Linked DNA regions of Struthio camelus. The protein of the gene in region 2 interacts with the protein of the main gene of each other region in a pairwise test. Links are inferred from orthologs where the notes say so. Each region holds a gene or a part of one and is shown on either strand. Other genes may lie near its edges.

Region 1 (9,278 bases), on a different chromosome or scaffold from region 2:
CCAGCAAGCAGAAATCAAGACACAAGGAAAAATACAGAGGAAAGCACCAAAAATTCACAAATGTAAGGGTTAAATCTCAAAAGCCTTTCATGTATGTCTAATACTACAGAGTCAGAGAAGAAACAGTTCTTCCAAATACGACGTATCTAAAATGTTTCATCTTTCCTCTACTCCGGAGCATAAAGAGATTTCTTTCTTTCCAGTGAGCAACACAGTTTCAGCAGTCTCTCTGATCACCACAGAAACCTACAGCTGCCTGAAAACATCACACAATACTGGCTCCTCTCACTACAGATGTAACTATTTCAGCTCACAACACTGCATACCATTCTCCAACCCGACAGCCATGCTGTTATCTGTACCAGCCCTTCTCCAAGGCATACAGAGCTAAAACACACATTTCCAGGATTGTCAGCTCTACAGAGGTAATATACCCAAGAAGTAACAGCATTACAAGAACGGCTCTAAAGCTCCTGAGCTGTTTTCAGAACCAGGGGCATATGCAGCCCCAATTCAGCTCTGTCACGTGACAGGGAGACACATGCTGAGGGCTCTCACATTTCTATCCAGGAAACCCTAAATGAAAAAGCAGGTGTACTCAGAAGTTTTTACGCAGCAAACAGCCCGGGCCAGGGCCACCCTGGAGCCGATGCCTCACTGCTCACGTGGAGATGGATCAGCAGAGCTCATGTTCTGCATTCAAACTGTTCCCAATCCACTGGACCAGTTGAGTGCACCAGCCCAGCTAAACCGCGCACAGGCTCTGGTCTTTGCTCCTCTGGCCACACTGCCAGGCATCCAGAACACACAGGCACACACACCAGCTGTGGAGTCCCAACAGAAGAGGCCAAGGGGCTAATCCCCTTTCATTCCCCCCACAGGACACGGGGCAGGCTTCCAATGTTGAATTGTTACTCAAAAAGCCCCTTTCCTTATGTGCTTCTTACAATAGTTCTACCAGCAGGTACTTTGTGCTGAGATAGACTACAAGAAGGGCTCTTAGCAGAAAATGACAACAAAATACTGTAAGAAAGAAGTTCGATGCTTAATTTACATTGTTTGGGTTCTTCGTGTCATTCTCTCCAAAATAAACGCTTCACTGAAGATTAATCCAACAGCCCAGCCCTGTCCACAATGTAGAGCTAAAGTAGTTGTGCAACGAAGGAAGCAGAGAAGCAATCTCCGTTTCAGAATCCCAGGGGTGCTTTTCTCCTCATATGCTTTGCATAACCTCAGTGCTCATGAGAGCACATGGGCAGCAAGAATAGCACAAGGTCTTACTCAGGGAGACGTCCTAGGAACTTTCCCTTTGCAACTGTAAAATATCTCCCTGGATGCAAGGCAGAAACACCTGCATATTCTATGGGCTTCCTAACACAACCCTCAGCCAAGTAGTGTTGAATCTGCTCCAGGCCTAGAGCCTGCAGGAGAGCCTGGTCAGATTGTGCAGCAATTTGGGGATAGCACACTTCAATTAGTGTGTAAGGTCAGTACCCCCAGCTAACAAACTGGGGCATTAACTGGGGAAGATGGACAGCCTGCACTTCTGAAGAAACATTAACATGCATCTACTTATTATTTCTTTAAGCTCCATGCTTGTGTCCCTGCCCCTGATGCTCACATTCTCAGCCTGTGACAAAACCTACAAGTAATAAGAAACACTTCTCTGTCACTAACACAAAGCCGCTCAGCTCAAACAGAAGCAGGAAAATAAATGTGGCAGCCCTCTTTCCATACCTTGTGTGGCTACAGTCATCATTACTAAATATCTGCAGTTTATTTACCGTTTGGTCCTGCTGATCTGCATCTTCCCCATCTCTCTGCCCATCACCTTCTGTCTCTTTAGTTACAGGCACTCCACCATTCCCTTCTGCTACATCTTGCTCTTTGAGCCTGGCATCTACTCGCTCCTCTTTGAATGATGGGTCATCCTCCAATTCTTCATTGGTAATCTGTGCAAACAGAGGAATAAGATGCAGAAACAGCAGGCACGTAGCTAGCTTCTGCCCTCTCCTGCTTCCAGCAGGACAGAATTTCATAGGAATCTGCTCTGCTCACACCTGGAAGTGAAAGAGGAGAAATCCACAAGCGTGACAGAAGCAGAGCAGGGCTCAGCTTCCCCAGTCATCTTCTCCAGCAGCTGAATGGGGCACAATGGCTCATTTAAAGAGTGTTGCCTAGTGGGCACCTGGAATGGCCTAACATCCACTGACTTATCAGAAGGGAGCACAGGGCCACAACAAAGCGTCCACTACGCAGCGCAGCGGCAGAAAAACATGGCCCTGTCTGGACTCTGCTCGTCTTTGGGAGGAGTCAAAAACCAGCTTTGGCCACACTCACACAGCCAGGCCCTGGGGAAGGAGAGGTAACCACTGCCCAAGAGAAGCACTGGGGCTGGCCAAGAGTGGAGGGACTAGACTGCCCCACCGAGGACCAACGGTGCCATCAGGGCCCACGTGACCCCAGACCTTCAGCTCTAGCATCTTGCAGGAGTGGAAAGGTGGCAGAAACACTGCCAAAAACAGCATCGTGCCCCGATACTCAGACCCAGCTCCGACAACACCTGCCCATCCCACCTCTCCCCACCACATCCGTCTAATGCTCTACACCTGCAGTGTAGTCCCTCTTGTACAGTCGCTCGCAACCCTGCTCCCCATGCCCACCCCAGCTTGTACTGCTCAGCGCCCCCTCCCCTGCTCCTAAACACTGCTGCCCCTCACACCCTTCCCTCCATCCCCCTGACTCTTCCGCTGCCCCCCTGCTGATTCCTCTCACCTCCAGCCAGGCCATTGCCACCTCCCTCAGCCCCAGCCCACTCTGTCCCCAGGCCACCCCCACCCCACATGCAGCACATCCCTCAGACTGCTTCTCAGTGCACCCCACTTTCTCCCCTAAACCTCCCCAGGATTCCCCCACCACTTCCCCCCAGTCCATCTGAGTCCTTTCAGTCCGCGCTCCCAGCTCAGCCCCAGTTGCTGCCCCCTCAGGCCACTCCCCACCCCTCAACTCACCGCCACCCCCCAGGACCCTCCTCTTCCAGCTCCCCAAGTCACCTCCAGTTCTCCCCCAAGACACTCTAGTCATTGTCCCCCATGACCCTCTCCCCTCCAGGGGCCACCCAGCCACCACCACCCCCATCGCTCCCCACTCCACACCTCCCAGGACCTGCCCCCAGTCACTCCCTCTCCTCAACCCCCTCCCAGTGACCATCCCGCTTTGGTCCCCTCCCCAGACCCCCTCTCAGGAACTGTCACCTTGCTCATTCCCACCCAGCCACTGCCCCACCACCACTGTCACCCTTCCCAGTCACTGTTATCCCATCACTGCCCCCCCAGTCACCCCCTCACAGTCACTCCTCCCTCAGTCATCTCCTTCCAGTCACTGTCACCCTAGTGGCCCCCTCCCAGTCACCCCCTTCACAGTCACCCCAGTCACTCCTCCCCCATTCACCCCCTTACAGCCACTGCTACCTCATCACTGCCATCCCAGTCACCCCCTCCCCAGATACTCCCCTCACAGCCACCCCCTCACCCCCCCAGTCACTGTCACCCCAGTCACACTCTCCTCCAAATACTCCCCTCACAGCCACCCCTCATAGAAGTCACCCCATCACCCCCTCCCCCAGATACTCCTTCACAGCCACCCCCTCATAGAAGTCACCCCATCACCCCCTCCCCGCCACTGTCACCCCACTCACCCCCTCAGAAGTCACCCCTTCCCCACCCCTCCCCAGTCACCCCCTCACAGAAGCCACCCCGCCACTGTCACCCCACTCACCCCCTCACAGAAGTCACCCCTTCCCCACCCCTCCCCAGTCACCCCCTCACAGAAGCCACCCCGCCACTGTCACCCCACTCACCCCCTCACAGAAGTCACCCCTTCCCCACCCCCTCCCCAGTCACCCCCTCACAGAAGCCACTCCGTCACTGTCACCCCACTCACCCCCTCACAGAAGTCACCCCCTCACAGAAGCCACTCCATCACTGTCACCCCACTCACCCCCTCACAGAAGTCGCCCCTTCCCCAGTCACCCCCTCACAGAAGCCACCCCGTCACTGTCACCCCACTCACCCCCTCACAGAAGTCGCCCCTTCCCCAGTCACCCCCTCACAGAAGCCACTCCGTCACTGTCACCCCCACTCCCCGCCGCCGCCTCCGCCGCCCCTCACCAGCTCGAAGCGGTTGCTGACGCCGGGCCGAGCCGGTCCCCGGCAGCGGCCGGGGGCAGCGGCATCGCCCGGCGGCTCCTGGCAGCGGCCGGGGCCGGAGGCCAGGCCCAGCTGACCCAGGCCCGGCTCCTCCTGGCCCCGCTGCTCGCCCCGCAGCCGCCGCAGGGCCCGCCGCGACATGGAGCTGCGCGCCGCACTGCGCCTGCGCGCGCCTGCGCGTCCGCCCCGCCCCGCGCCTGCGCCCCCCGGCCCCGGCCCCGGCCCCGCCCCGCGGCGCGCGCAGGCGCAGTGCGGCGGCCCGCCATCAGCCTCGCGCCTCCCCCAGCCGCCGCAGCGCGAAATCTGTCTCGAGGGGGGGCACGGCCCGGGGACGGAACGTCCGGGGGAAACACGGCCTGGGGAAACATGGCCCGGGGGGATGCCACGGAGAGGCCAAGGCCTGGGGGGTATCGCCCTGGGGGAGGGCAGCGTGGGGTATCACCCTGGGGGGGGGCACGGTGTGAGGGTATCGCCCTGGGGGGGCAGCATGGGGGTATCGCCCGAGGGGGGGGCATGGCCTGGGGGTATCACCCCGGGGGGGGCAGCATGGGAGTATCACCCTGGGGGAGGCACGGTGTGAGGGTGTCGGCCGGGGGGGGGGGGCAGCATGGGGGTACCACCCTGGGGGAGGCACGGTGTGAGGGTGTCGCCCGGGGGGGGGGCAGGGGGGTATCACCCTGGGGGAGGCACGGTGTGAGGGTGTCGCCCGGGGGGGGGCAGCATGGGGGTACCACCCTGGGGGAGGCACGGTGTGAGGGTGTCACCCTGGGGGGGGCAGCAGGGGGGTATCACCCCGGGGGGGGCATGGCGTAAGGGTATCGCCCCCCACCTCACCCCCCACCACCGCCACGGCCCCGTTGCCCCCTGCGCTGGCCCGCGGCCCCGCTCCCGCGCAGCATCACCCCCCGGGCAGCCCAAAGCCATTTATTCGCGGGGGGGCCGGGGGGTACAGAGGGGCCGCGGCGACGCGGCCGGCCGGTCGGCAGGCACCGAGGCGTCCCGGTGGCGCGGGCTCAGCACCGCGCCAGGTCCGGCAGCCCCCGGCGCCTGCTACGGAGAGCCGCGGAGCCACATCCCCAAATATATAAATATAGAGGCTGTCTGTGTGTCCTATGTATATATGTACAGGGGGGCGGCCGCCAGCCCTCACTGGTGCCAGGAGGCGCCGCGGCGGGCGCGGGGCGGCGCGGCGTTGAGCGCGGCCACGCTGCGGCGGCTGGAGCGGATGACGTCGGCCACGAAGCCGGTGCAGTCGCTGCAGACGTCGCGGAGCACGGCGCCCTGGGCGTAGATGTGGGGGAACTCCTCCTCGATGCGGCGCCAGCGGGTGCCGGGCAGCGAGCTGTGGGCACCGGCCGCGCCGTCAGCCCTGGCCCGTGCCACGGCGCGGCGCAGCATGGTGCGGCACGGCACGACGCGGTGCCGGATAGCACACCATGGCACGTTGCTGGATGGCACGGTGTGGTGCAGTGCAGCACGGCATGGCACGGTGCCGGGTGGCACGGCATGGTGCAGTGCAGCACGGCACATTGCCACATGGTACGGCATGGTGCAGCACAGCATGGTGCGGTGCAGCACAGCACGGCATGGCACGGTGCCGGATGGCATGGCATGGTGCAGCACGGCATGGGGCAGAACGGCACAGCGCAGTGCAGGATGGCACAGCATGGTGCGAGGCAGCACAGCATGGCATGGCACAGTGCCGGATGGCATGGCATAGTGCGGCACGGTGTGGTGCAGCACAGCACAGCGCAGTGCAGGATGGCACAGCATGGTGCGGTGCAGTGCAGCATGGCATGGCACGGTGCAGCACAGCATGGTGCGGTGCAGTGCAGCATGGCATGGCACGGTGCAGCACGGCATGGTGCGGGGCAGCACAGCATGGCATGGCACGGTGCTGGATTGCATGGCACGGGGCAGCATGGCACAGGGCAGAATGGCACAGCGCAGTGCAGGATGGCACAGCATGGTGCGGTGCAGTGCAGCACGGCATGGCATGTTGCTGGATGGCACAGCAAGGTGCAGCATGGCATAGCACGGTGTGATGCAGGATGGCATGGCATAGCGCGGTGCAGCATGGCACGGCGCAGTGCAGGATAGCACAGTGCGATGCAGGATGGCACGGCATGGTGCAGTGCAGGATGGCACAGCACGGTGCAGTGCAGGATGGCACGGCACAGCACAGTGCAGGATGGCACAGCACGGTGCAGTGCAGGATGGCACGGCACAGCACAGTGCAGCACAGCACAGCGTGGCATGGCATAGTGCGGTGCAGCACGGCATGGCGCGGTGGGGGCTAGGGTGGGCGGTGGGTCCCGGCACTCACTGGAAGGTATCTCTCTGCCGCAGCGGTGGGGCTTTGGTGCCCAGCGGCCCCGGGAGGCTCTCGAAGCCCAGCGCGTAGACAGGGATGTGAGCCAGCTTCTTGGAAGGCATCTTCATCTGCCGGGGAGGCGGGCGGGCGTCAGCACTGGGGGCTGTGTCGTGCCAGGGCCAGGACGTGTGGGCTCAGCCCAGCGGCGCAGCCCTCCCCGGAGGACGCCTCCGTCCTGGGGCGGCCCACGGCAGCCCCCGCACCCTGGCATGAGCCGTCCCTTACCTTGAGGCTGCAGGAGGTGCAGACAGACCTGGGGGCACAGAGAGAGGCTGGTCAGCAGCGGCACCCACGGGCACCCTGCAGGCCCCCTCCCAGCCCTGCCGCACAGCTTGGAGCAGCACGGCACAGCATGGCATGGCACTGTGCAGCACAGTATGCTGTGGCATGGCACAGCACCGTGCAGCATTGCATGGTGCGGCACGGCACAGCATGGCGTGGCACGGTGCAGCAGAGCGTGGTGCAGCAGTGTGGTGTAGCACAACGCGGTGCAGCACAACGTGGTGCAGCATGGCACGGCATGGCATGGCACCGTGCAGCACAGCACAGTGCTGCATGGCAAAGTGCAGTGCAGCAGAGCATGGTGCGGCACGGGACGGCACAGTGCAGCACGGCATGGTGTAGCACAGTGCAGCACGACGTGGCGCACAGGGTGGCTGCTCACCGCTTGCAGAAGAGGCAGGCCGTGGGCCAGGAGAACAGGGGGAACTTGGCCCTGCAGCAGCAGCAGACCTGCGGGGAGAGGGGCCGGGTAAGAGGTGGCCGGGGCCCTGCAGCACCGCAGGCTCTTCCCCCGCTCCCACCTTCCCTTTCTTCAGGCTGTTGTACAGCTCCTTGCTCTGCAGGAACTTCTCCATCTCGGCCTTGACCAGCACCCGGCGCACGTTGATCATTTCCTCCACGGTGAGGGCCAGGCTCTCCACGGGGTGGCTGAACTCCTGCGTGCAGAAAGGGGCCGTGAGCCTGGCCTGCCGCATGGCCCGGTGCCAGCTACGGCCCAGCTGCTCCTTGGACATGCATGTCCCCAGGACATGTGTGGGCAGAGTGTCCCTGGGGCACGCGTGGGCAGAGCGTCCCTGGGACAGGCAGAAGAGTGTCCCTGGGACAGGCAGAAGAGTGTCCCTGGGGCACGCGTGGGCAGAGCATCCCTGGGACAGGCAGAAGAGTGTCCCTGGGGCACGCGTGGGCAGAGAATCCCTGGGACAGGCAGAAGAGCGTCCCCAGGACATGTGTGGGCAGAGCATCCCCAGGACACGTGTGGGCAGAGCATCCCCAGGACACACGTGGGCAGAGCATCCGTGGGACACACGAGGGCAGCGTGTCCCCGGGAGACGCCCTGTGCAGTGGCCACATCCTGCTCCCATGCAGCACTCACCAGCCACAGGTGCTTGGAGCCGCTGGCAGGGGCAGCGCCGGAGCTGTCCTCTGGCCTCTCCTCCACGCAGCTGAGGGCACCGTGGGGCGATGGCAGCGGCGCGGTGCCATACGGCACTGGGTGGTAGCTGGCCGGCACCGATCCTGCAGGGGAAGGACACGCCATGCAGCGTGACCCTCCGGCATGGGCCTGCTGGCGGTGCAGCACGGCCGCCGCGGGGACAGCTGGGCTGCGGCGAGGCTGGGAGCGCAGGGCACGCAGCTCGGGGACAGCCCTGCAGCTCGGGGACAGCCCCAGTGGGGAGGGCGCGCGGCACAGGACGGGGCTGGTGGTTGCATGTCTTGGCATGGGCCTCGGGGCACCGTGTCCCAGCTCGCGGCATCATGTCCCAGGTCCCAGCTTGGGGCACCTTATCCCACGCCCTAGCTCACGGCTTCACATCCCACATCCCAGCTCAGGGCATCACATGCCACATCCCAGCTCAGGGCATCACATCCCACATCCCAACTCATGGCATCACATCCCACATCCCAGCTCAGGGCATCATGTCCCACATCCCAGCTCAGGGCATCATGTCCCAGGTCCCAGCTTGGGGCACCTTATCCCACGCCCTAGCTCACGGCATCACATCCCACATCCCAGCTCAGGGCATCACATGCCACATCCCAGCTCAGGGCATCACATCCCACATCCCAACTCATGGCATCACATCCCACATCCCAGCTCACGGCATCATGTCCCACGTCCCAGCTTGGGGCACCTTATCCCACGCCCTAGCTCATGGCATCACATCCCACATCCCAGCTCAGGGCATCATGTCCCAGATCCCAGCTCGGGGCATCAGGTCCCAAGTCCCAGCTTGGGGCACCTTATCCCATGCCCTAGCTCATGGCATCATGTCCCACATCCCAACTCATGGCATCACATCCCACGTCCCAGCTCACGGCATCATGTCCCACATCCCAGCTCAGGGCATCATTTCCCAGGACCCAGCTTGGGGCATCACGTCCCAGGTCCCAGCTCACAGCATCATGTCCCAGATCCCAGCTCGGGGCATCATGTCCCATGTCCCAGCTCGGGAAACTGGGTCCCAGCTCAGCCCCACGTCCCAGCTCAGGGTTCGGGGCTCCGTGTCCCAGCTGGGCTCAGCCCCGGCTCGCGCCGGGTCGGGGGCTGCTCCCCATGCTGTGAGCAGGCTGGGGCGCCGGGGGGACACATCCTCGCTCCCTGTGCGGCCTGGCGCGCGGGGTACCTGAGCGGGGCCGGGGCTCAGGCTCCAGCGGCCCCGGCGCCTGGGGCGCATCCTGGCCACCGCTCAGCT
Region 2 (9,666 bases):
CAAAATAGTCCTTGTAGGAGTTAGCAATGGAATTAAGTCACGCATACACTGCTAAGGACTTAAAAATATAACACTGAGATTGTACAAGAATATGAGAAAACACACATTCTAGCAAACAGTGGAAGTGAGTACATTAACCAATTTATTCATTATTTTCAAGAGTAACACCTGATCAGTCTTTTTTCTCTCTTTTTGATATTTTCCAGTCAGACTAAACTGGAGCCACATTAACTGAGAAACAGTATTATTATCCCTTTAGTACGAGGTTGTGATAGATTACTGTTTTCCTGTTTTTTCAAAAGAGAATGAATGAATGTCTCGTAAATTCAGCAAAACCCACTCAGAACCGACTCTTGCTACCAGCGCTTTTTTTCTGTCGTGTATGTGGTATGAGTACTTCTCCCCTACTTCATGTCTGCATAAACTGCCACAGCTGATGCTGGTGCATGATCCTGGGTTGCGCAGGAGTCAGGGGGGAGGAGGAGACGACTGTGCTGTATCTTAGGGAAAGTTCCTCTTCGCTGCTTCACATCCTTAAAACAACTGTAATCCCAAGTCCCATCCCCAGCGACAGCCCTTGTACGTGTGACCCCATACACAATCATGTGACTCTTATTACTTGCCGTACTAGCTCCATGTATCTGCAGAGAAAAAAGTTGAAAGAGCTATTTGAAAGCTTCTAGCTCATCTAGTTGTAGAAAAAAATGGAAATCTGGTATGGATGGTGGCCATGTGCTGAAGAATCAGAAACCAAAATACCATAAAGAATCACCTGAGGACAGAGCAAAGTCTGTGACAAAAGATAAAAACTGTGATAGTGATGTATAAAAAGAACACCTGTTCCTCCTGGGAATCCCCGCTTGTTTGAAAGGAAAATTCATATTCCTCAGGTTTCTTTTTAAAGTCTGAGAAATTGAGCCCAAGAACGCCAATTTAAGTAAGTCACGAGATCAGAATCGAAGGCACATCTACCGTATCCAAAACTGAAGGCTATAAAACTAAGGCCCATTTTGATTGTTTTCCAAAATTGTTTCTACTGTTTTTATAACCCTTATTTGCAGGCAGGATGTTGATAATTTGTGGGTGCAATCAGACAATTAGATGTCTAAATCCCAAATTCATCAAATTGCATAATTGCAAATGCCTGTCAAGGCATATCAGCTTACAGGAATAGGATTGCAGTGGCCTAAAATATGTCTTCAAATGTAATAATGCAGAAGGTTGGGCCTTTATTTCCAGTATATGGAAATATATAGTTTTATTATGTGAAACTGTTAATTTTGCATTTGCCCCAGATTCTGAAGTGCTACTGCAATGTTTATTTACTTTTTTATAGAAATATATTTTTTTTATGTGCAGCTCAGTGTTGATAAAAACTGTTATTGTAAGTTGCTTGAAAAAAAATCTGGCAGCAACTGGGAGCTCATAAATATCACAGCTAGTTCTGAGTATTAGACAATAACTATTCAGTTGAAAATGCAGAGAAAATCCTGAATGCTGTCCAAAGAGTAGTGGTGTCTGGAAAAATTAACAGGTCAACACTGAATGTTAACTTAATGTGTATTTTCTGTATTTTGCTCCAAAGATTTGAGATGAGATCTGGATTTGGATTGAAATGTTTGAGATCCATTTAATACTATACTCAAAAATGATTAACATTTTTGAGTATTCCACATTTTAATGTGGAATATTATGTGGAAAATTACATTCCACATTTTAATGTGGAATAAAAAGTCCCTATCCTTCCTTCTTTTATTTATTATAAACAGAGAACTTTTGAGGCATAAGAGAGGCATTCATACAGGAATTCAAGGAATCTTCTTAGCGAAGGAGGAAGTCAAAAATTGAAATACCAGAAGTAAAGAGGAGCTTGATTAATTGAACACTGAAGAAAGCAAGCTGGTCCCCACTTTGAGCCTTTTCCTCCAGTCTCTGAAAGAAGATGAAATCCAGAAATTTAGAAGCAAATAGAAAGAGTCATCAGTGCAAGTATCCAACTGAGGCCCAAAGTTCTCTGAATCGGTTGTTCAGCTGCATCCCTATGAAAGGTTCTTGGGGAACTAGCATGACTATAGCCTGTTGCTCAAGACCAGACAGTACCTCTCTATCTCTGGAGGGATGTGGAGAAAATATGCCTTAAGATACAAACTGTTCTGTATGCTTTTATTAAAAGCAGTTCCTGCTGCAACACTTTAAGTGCTGCTTTCTTTTTTTTGTTTTGTATAACATTTTTCTGGCTCCTCACTTACAAGCAAGGTTTAGTGAGGCGATAAAATGAGAATGGGAGGAAAACATGTACCATCTTTTCAGATAATCCTAATCATTCTACCTCTCAAACAGAGAAGTGTCATCCCTTTTGGTGGAAATATTCATACGGAGCAGGTTCTGCACAGAAGAAGCTGTTGGGTGTAACATGAGAAGCAAGAACTAACCTAATCCAGTTTAGTGCATATGCCATTATAACAGGTTATTTCAACAATTGATTTACTTTAAATGCCTTTACTACCCACTTTTCAGCATAATTGTATAATTTGAAAATAACGTGATCCTTGTCAGAACATTTACCTCTTCTCATTCCCTCTAGGCAAAACGTAAATAAATAGGCTGACCACTTAAGCCTAAAATCCTAACCCTATGGAAGTCGTTAGAAATTCCATCACTGATGTCAGCTTGGTCAGGATTACAGGAAAGATTCTCAAAACTCAGCAGAGCTGAGAGAAACAGAAGACCCATCAATATGATTAATTCTCAAAATGGAGTTCTTTAGAACCACTTTGTAAAACTGTCTTACCATTACACTGAAAAAAGTACATATAGTTGCAAATAACCAATAATTGTAGCATAGGTTCTGAGATCTAGCTCTCTTAATTACATCATTTTTCATTTCCTTTTTGTTCTTTTTTCTTCTCTGTATTTCATATGGGTCCATGAAACTATTTTTGATATTTCAGGATTTTTTTTAATTTTTTTTTTCTTCTCCTTTGTGAATTTGAAGGCTAATTCAAATGAATTGTATTCACTGGGGTAACACAGTATCAGCATATTTCTGAGCAAGTTGAAGCAGGACTCTCACAAACACTTGAGATGGAAAATGTCTTCTGCTGAAACTTCAACTTCTAACATCATATGACTTTTCTAACTTGAGAACGAAAGGAATCAGGTACTTTCTGCTCTTACTCAACATTAGGTTCTCTGATAGTATGACTTCCTCATTGTCAAACGGACAAAAAACAAAAGAGTCAACACAACAGACACACTAAGTCTTTCCAGAAAAGTATTTCCTGTTTCTGATCCCAGTTCAGGTTCTTCCTGGCAGTTAACCAAAAAAAAAAAAAAAAAAAAGTATATTCATGAAATCCCTTGCAGTTAGGTTGGAACTCTTCTTTGGGAAGTTATTCAAATTCAGTCTCCCTGCCAGAACCCCTGTCCTGAAGGATTTCCACATCTGTAACTCCTTCTGAAACAAATCTTTTCTCCTAGTAGGCATTGGCTGTCACTTTTGTTTTGGAAATGCTGCTGTTCCTTGGGCATCTCCAGGTGTCATTTTTGCCCCAACAGAGGGTGACAGAGTGAGCTGGCGACACCTGAGTTGGTGTCTGAATACATCCAAAACTACTCTTCTAGGAATAGAAGTACATTCCACTGTGAGCCAAAGGATTTTCCTGGCTAACGCTGGCCACCAGAATATACACTTCCTTGTAAGTTCTCCTGTAATAACACATTCCATGCTGGCCCAAACGTCTAAATGAAGGTGAACCTTGTAAGTCATTTGATACACTGGAAAATAGGGTTTGAGCGTTGTGAGAGCGTTTGGGAATCCAGGTTTTAAGGACTGTTACAACAGTAGCATGACTTGGTGTTTTCTCAAACCCCAAATCACTTTGAAAGCAAGTCAGATTAAGCCGAACGTAAAATAAAGAGCTCCTTTACAGTATCTAAGAATGGTCATGATAGTTGCAAAGTTTATGGGTCATCAGAAGCGAAAAGAAAACCATGCACATACCAAATTGTTATTTCTATACTTCTTACCTGGGTGGCCTAGCTGATAGGCCTACAGACATTCATAATTATCTAGTTGAGGATCTGGTTCTCATTCTGCTGTCTACATCTACATCCTATAGGTTAGGCTTAGAGAAGAATGAGGTTAGGGATAATTATTCCTTTCTTTTATACCCTAAACCCCTAATCATTCAGACAGATTTCTTCATTGCACCTCTGTACACAAAGACATTCATACCTCCTTCTAGAAGGAATGTGAGCTTACCCAATAGCAGACTACGGGCAGACCCCTCCTGCTTTGAAGATGCTACTGTCCTTTGTGTATCTCTTGAGTACTACTCTTTCTTCCCCAGCAAGTTTAGTAAGCCAGGTCAGTTATCATGCTTGGGGACGGTTTTCCCATCAGATTGGAAAGCGTTCCAAGCCCAAAGTGTAACTTTTTTTCACATTTTGAACCGTATTTTCCATATAAACAAATACTTGCAAATCCTGCTATATAGTAAGAAATGACCACAATTAATACGTAACGTACACTAGTGTCTTTCATTCAAAGCTAAACATAACAGTTGGGGCAAACAGTACTGTGACAGGAACATTTTAAGTCAGTGTTCTTCCATCTTTTAGAGTTAGATCTCTTTTCCCAGGGGGGCGCCTTTTATACTAGACTTTAACTTTCTTTTTCCTTTTAATTAAGGAATACGTTTTAGCTCCTTGTGTCAGGGAGACTGCCTACCTGGAGAGCTCTGTGTTCCTCTGTGATGAGCCCAGGGTTGTTTAAGAGCACGTATATTGAACTTACCAGCACGGTTGACGTGTTGCTGCGTGGGTCAGCTTGGGTATTTGTCGGTAGTGTACGGGATTCCGGTTACTAACCTTTGGAGAGTCTCTTCTTGTGACCAAGGCGCGCGCGTGGAGGAGGCAGAGGACCAGAACTATCTGTGCGAGGGCTCATAGGGATCGCTGTGGCACTCCTGGACGTTTCAAGCAGGTACAAAGGCTTCCCCCTCCCCCTCACACGGCAGGGAAGATAACTTGCTTTCAAGTCACCACCGAATACCTAGCTGGCCGCCACCGCAGCTAAGATGGCGGCGTCGAGGCGCTCCTCGCCGCACGAGGCGATCCCCTAGCCGCAGGCACACCGCCCGAGGGGGACCCCGGAGGGCTCCCTGCCAGGCGCAGCCCCGAGGGCCGCTGCGGCGGAGGCCCGCAGGCCGCGGAGCGGGGTTTGGGGGCGCGGCGAGGTCCGCGGGTGCGGACGGCGCGGCGGCCCCCGAGGCGCGGGCTGGCTGCGGCGGGGGCGTCCTGCAGCGCCGCCCGGCTCCGCTAGGGGGCGCCACCGCGTGCGGGGGGGGGGGGGAGCCGGGAGTCACGAGACAGCCCCGCACCAGCTGTTGCTGGCAGGGTGAAGTAAGCCTCGGCGGAGGGGCGCTGTCATTGGCTGAGGGCGAGCACTACGGGCGCTCCCATTGGCTTGCGTATGGGGAGAGGCGGGGCGAGGGTATCTATAAATAAGGAGCGCGGCGGGGGCTTCGGCACACAGTTTCGGGTCGGGGTCAGAGCGGTGGAGGGACGGGAGTTGCCCGCCTGCACAGCGCCGCCGCCGCCGCCGGGACATGCTCGCAGCCTGACTGACCGCAGGTGGCCGCCGCGCCCGGGACACGAATGAAGAAGCAGTTGCTCCTCCTGTTCACACATCGGGGACTCGTCAGCCGAGGGGGTCGCAGGGGGAAGCGCCGTCGAAAATGGCCTCGTTCCGTATCCGCGCCGCGCGACCTGAGGACTGCCCCGACCTGCTGCGACTGATCAAGGTGCGCGGCGGGCCGGGGGCCCGGGGGCGGGGGGAGGAGAGAGAAGGGGAAGCGGCGGTTGGGGGCGTCGTTCGGACAGCGCGCGAGACCGGCCGTTCCCTGGCGGCGTCGCCGCGCTGGGGGGAGGGGCGGGCGGGGGGTCTCGTCAGCGCCCCGCGGGGGGTGGGGGTGGGGGAGCGACCCGCCTCGGGGCGGCGCGGGCGGGGGCGGGGGGGAATGTCACGGCTGCCCTTCTCTCTGGGCAAAAACAAGCTCTTGCGCAAGGCTGCGAGCGGCCAATGAGGAGGCGGCTGGGGAGACCTGCGGGGACAGCCCGCTTACATGTATCTTCTCTTCCAGGAACTAGCGAAATACGAGGACATGGAGGATCAAGTGGTGTTGACGGAGAAAGGTATACAAGCAGCAGCTGCTGACCTGGTTGATAGCCTAGTGGCAAGACCTGTGGCTTAGGTGACAATTTTCTTCTCCTTTTCTAGAGCTGCTTGAGGATGGTTTTGGCGAGCATCCTTTTTACCACTGTCTTGTTGCAGAAGTGCCGAAAGAACAGTGGTCGCCTGAAGGTGAGACTTCCTGCCGCTTGTGTTTTGATGCTCAATACACAAGAGATGTCTGAATGTTGTTGATTGTACGTAAGGTTCCACCAATGAACTGGGGCAGGAGGACTAGGTTAACTGTTAAAAATGGAGTAACATACAGTGATGCTCTCTGAAGTAGTCACTAATCCTGGAGATGTGGGAAGATCAGGTATAATATAATGTACTTTAATTCCAGTTAATTAAATGGCTTTTTTTGTTTGACCCTAACTTACCTTATGTAATTCTGTTGAATCACATTTTTTCTTCAATTTGTCCCCAATCTTCAGGTTACAGTCTCTAGCTTCGCCATGTACATGGCCCTTCTGTGTACATGGATGGGCGGGGAGGTAACTAAAAGATCCGTTACACAATAAAGTAGATGATCATAATATGAGGTAAGGTCTACAGGGACAAGTGTTATTCCCAAACCTTTACCAAAAAACACGGTAGATCAGAAATTTGTGTGCACGCTTCTCCTACAGTATGTGTAGAGCATTAGAGCAGATAGGGTTTTAATTCTCAAGAGTTAGAACCAAGAGTGCTGCTGTTGGAAGAGTTGGTTTCTCTTCTGTGTTGAGCCACAGAATTACATTTGAAGCAGCAGCTTTCCTTACTTACAGTAGGTAAATTTTCTGGTGCCGGAGATAGAGAAGGGCATGATGCTATCAGTGCCAAGCCTAAGTTTAAAGTGTTAGAAATGCCGCTGTAAATGTGGTCAGCAAGCATGCCTTTCTCGCACAGTAATTGTTGAGGAATACAAATTGTAAGATCAGTGCTCTCTAGAGTTTGTTAGTCTGTTCTGGTCGCTAAGGAAGCAGAGTTGGGGCAATCTAGATTCTGAACTGCCGTGTAAAATTTGACTTGTATTCCACAACGGAAATAGTAATAAATTGGTAGGGTGTGTATTTGTAGAAAAAAGTCTTAAGTGTTCAGTATTTACTGTAACATTGCTCTTGAGGCTTTCAGGGTATGAAGAGGGCAATCTTTGCTGTATTAAGTCAATAAAATTTTGTCAGAACTCATTTTCAGTTGTGTGCTTATTTGCAAACTTCAATTGTAATTCTAACCTGATAACAAACAGCTGCATGTTACAGAAAGAGGGACTATATTTAAACATGCATGTAAGGCTTGAATTAATATGTTGCCTTTTAAATTCAGACTAGCTAAAGTTGCACCCTTTGTTTCAGAACACAGCATCGTGGGTTTTGCCATGTACTATTTCACTTATGATCCGTGGATTGGAAAACTGCTGTATCTTGAAGATTTTTATGTGATGGCTGAATACAGAGGTAGGTTTTATGGCACTAGATGAGGAGTTACAGGGGCTTCTCTAAAACTGAAACTTTTTTCTTTGCCTTGTTAGGGCTTGGCATTGGGTCAGAAATTCTGAAGAACTTGAGTCAGGTATGTCAAAGCGATAAGTCTAAAAAAGCAGAACTGAGGACACGTGACAAAGCAGTGCTGTTCTAACTGCATGAGAGTTTCCCCTTAAACAGTACTCAGAATTAACATAGCTGACCTATTGAAGGAGGTGACAGGATGCTAGACAGAGCTTTAAAAACTTTGACAACATGCAGTTAGTTGCTGAGTGCTTTCACCAGTTTCTACTAGGTTTAGTGAAGACTTGCTCTAAATTTGTACTGCTGCACACTCTTGCAGGTTGCTGTCAAGTGCCGCTGCAGCAGTATGCACTTCCTCGTTGCAGAGTGGAACGAGCCTTCCATCAGGTTCTACAAGAGAAGGGGGGCCTCTGATCTGTCCACTGAGGAGGGGTGGAGGCTCTTCAAAATTGACAAAGAATATCTCTTGAAGATGGCAACAGAAGAGTGAGAGATGATTCCAGCAAATAAACCCTTTCTATGAATATATACTCTCTATGAATAAACTCCTTCTTGCTTTCTGTGTACAGTTTGTAGTGGATTAAAGTAGCATGGATACTAATAATGAAAATGCTTTGCAAGTGTGGTTAGAGTAATTGGTACTGTGATCCGGAGTTGAGGCATCTGTGAAGTTGAATTTGTGCTTGTGTACATCCTTAACCAGTGTGGGCTTGTTATCGTTGAAATGTATATGAAAACTTCATTCTTGTAAGTGTCATTCAAATGTGTACAATGTACACACTGGTAGGGTTTGTTTTAAGTATTTCCTTTTATAAAAATAAAGTGTTTTCACTTCATGGCAATAGTTTTTGACTTTAATTCTCACATAGTCTGCAGAGAGTTGCTATTTAAGGTAATGGAAGTCTCTTTTGAAAAATATGCCCAGGTGACTAATAAAGTGAAGTGCTATTTATCCCAGTCTCTGAGTGATAAAAGGTGATGTCTGCAGGTGCTAATGGGGAGGCTCTAGCCACACCTGTACTGGAGTGGAGAGCACTCAGTGGGGTTTAGAGATCACTCACGGCTTTACGCATTGTGCAGAGCATTCTGTCTAGTGAGGGAAATTAGGTGCTCTTACAACTAAATTTGGTTCTTGGTTGGGAGTAGAAGATAGCCCCAGGGGAAAAAGCTACTGTTACTTTCTCAAGGCTTACTTAACTGTAGAACACCTCAATATGGAGGTGTAAGCTTAAAAGGGGGGGGGGGGAGGATATCTTGGCAGGGACTGACATATCCAGATAGACTTTTAAGTCTAAAAGATGAAAAATAGTCAAAACCTCAAGACTGAGAAAGGGATTTTTTTCTAGTTCATAAAAATGAATGTTTAAAGATCCAATTTAAATGCCCCTGGAAGTTGTAGGTTTAAATACATCATTTCAGATACTGTACAGAGCTTTGGCATGTGCTTCAGGGCTGTGAATTAGGCAGCAGTGGCGAGATGCCTGGAAAGTAGTGCTATGTAAATGTAAAACTTAAGTCCTGTGCATTTAAAGCTTTGTACAGCAGCAAGCAAGAACAATGCTACTCACCAACTTTTTCATGAGCTTGAAAAGCAAGTGTACATTTTCTAACTTAGCTTTAAAATACTGTCTTAAGTTGTGGTGCCAAGTGGATGTATTCAATTTGTACATTGTTATCCTCATGCTGTAGTTACTCCTGAAGTGAAAGGCTTCTTTTAGCCAGCACTGCCTTACACTTGAAAAGGAAGAGGCTTACCTGCCTTGTAACATGCACTGCTTTAAATGAAATGGGCTTTTAAACTGCATTGCATTGCTACATGAATCTTGCATCCTCTAGAGGATGTCTCCTCATCCTGTAGAGTAGAGGGCACCGACTGTTTTAACCACAGATAACCCTAATGTAAATTTTAAGAACAAGGCAACCCCCTCTGCCTTATTTCCAGAG

Evidence for each region. The genes of interacting proteins can lie anywhere in the genome.
Region 1: the proteins of SAT1 (region 2) and TCF25 interact in binary tests that used the Homo sapiens proteins (3 or more experiments, as listed by UniProt). The two-hybrid records come from large-scale screens. The link is inferred for Struthio camelus from reciprocal best matches to the Homo sapiens genes SAT1 and TCF25.

What each region holds. Positions count from the first base shown.
Region 1 is NC_090951.1:1,801,101-1,810,378, forward strand, and holds the start of TCF25 (ribosome quality control complex subunit TCF25), read right to left. Parts: upstream 4,378-9,278; 5' UTR 4,350-4,377; coding exon 4,170-4,349; intron 1,953-4,169; coding exon 1,785-1,952; intron 1-1,784. Other genes in the region: SPIRE2 (protein spire homolog 2), read right to left, coding at 5,355-5,550, 6,535-6,650, 6,808-6,835, 7,247-7,314, 7,386-7,520, 7,958-8,100, 9,210-9,278. UniProt on the Homo sapiens protein: Component of the ribosome quality control complex (RQC), a ribosome-associated complex that mediates ubiquitination and extraction of incompletely synthesized nascent chains for proteasomal degradation.
Region 2 is NC_090942.1:135,361,517-135,371,182, reverse strand, and holds SAT1 (diamine acetyltransferase 1), read left to right. Parts: upstream 1-5,478; 5' UTR 5,479-5,741; coding exon 5,742-5,807; intron 5,808-6,146; coding exon 6,147-6,198; intron 6,199-6,283; coding exon 6,284-6,367; intron 6,368-7,569; coding exon 7,570-7,671; intron 7,672-7,745; coding exon 7,746-7,786; intron 7,787-8,041; coding exon 8,042-8,212; 3' UTR 8,213-8,558; downstream 8,559-9,666. UniProt on the Homo sapiens protein: Enzyme which catalyzes the acetylation of polyamines. Substrate specificity: norspermidine = spermidine >> spermine > N(1)-acetylspermine. This highly regulated enzyme allows a fine attenuation of the intracellular concentration of polyamines.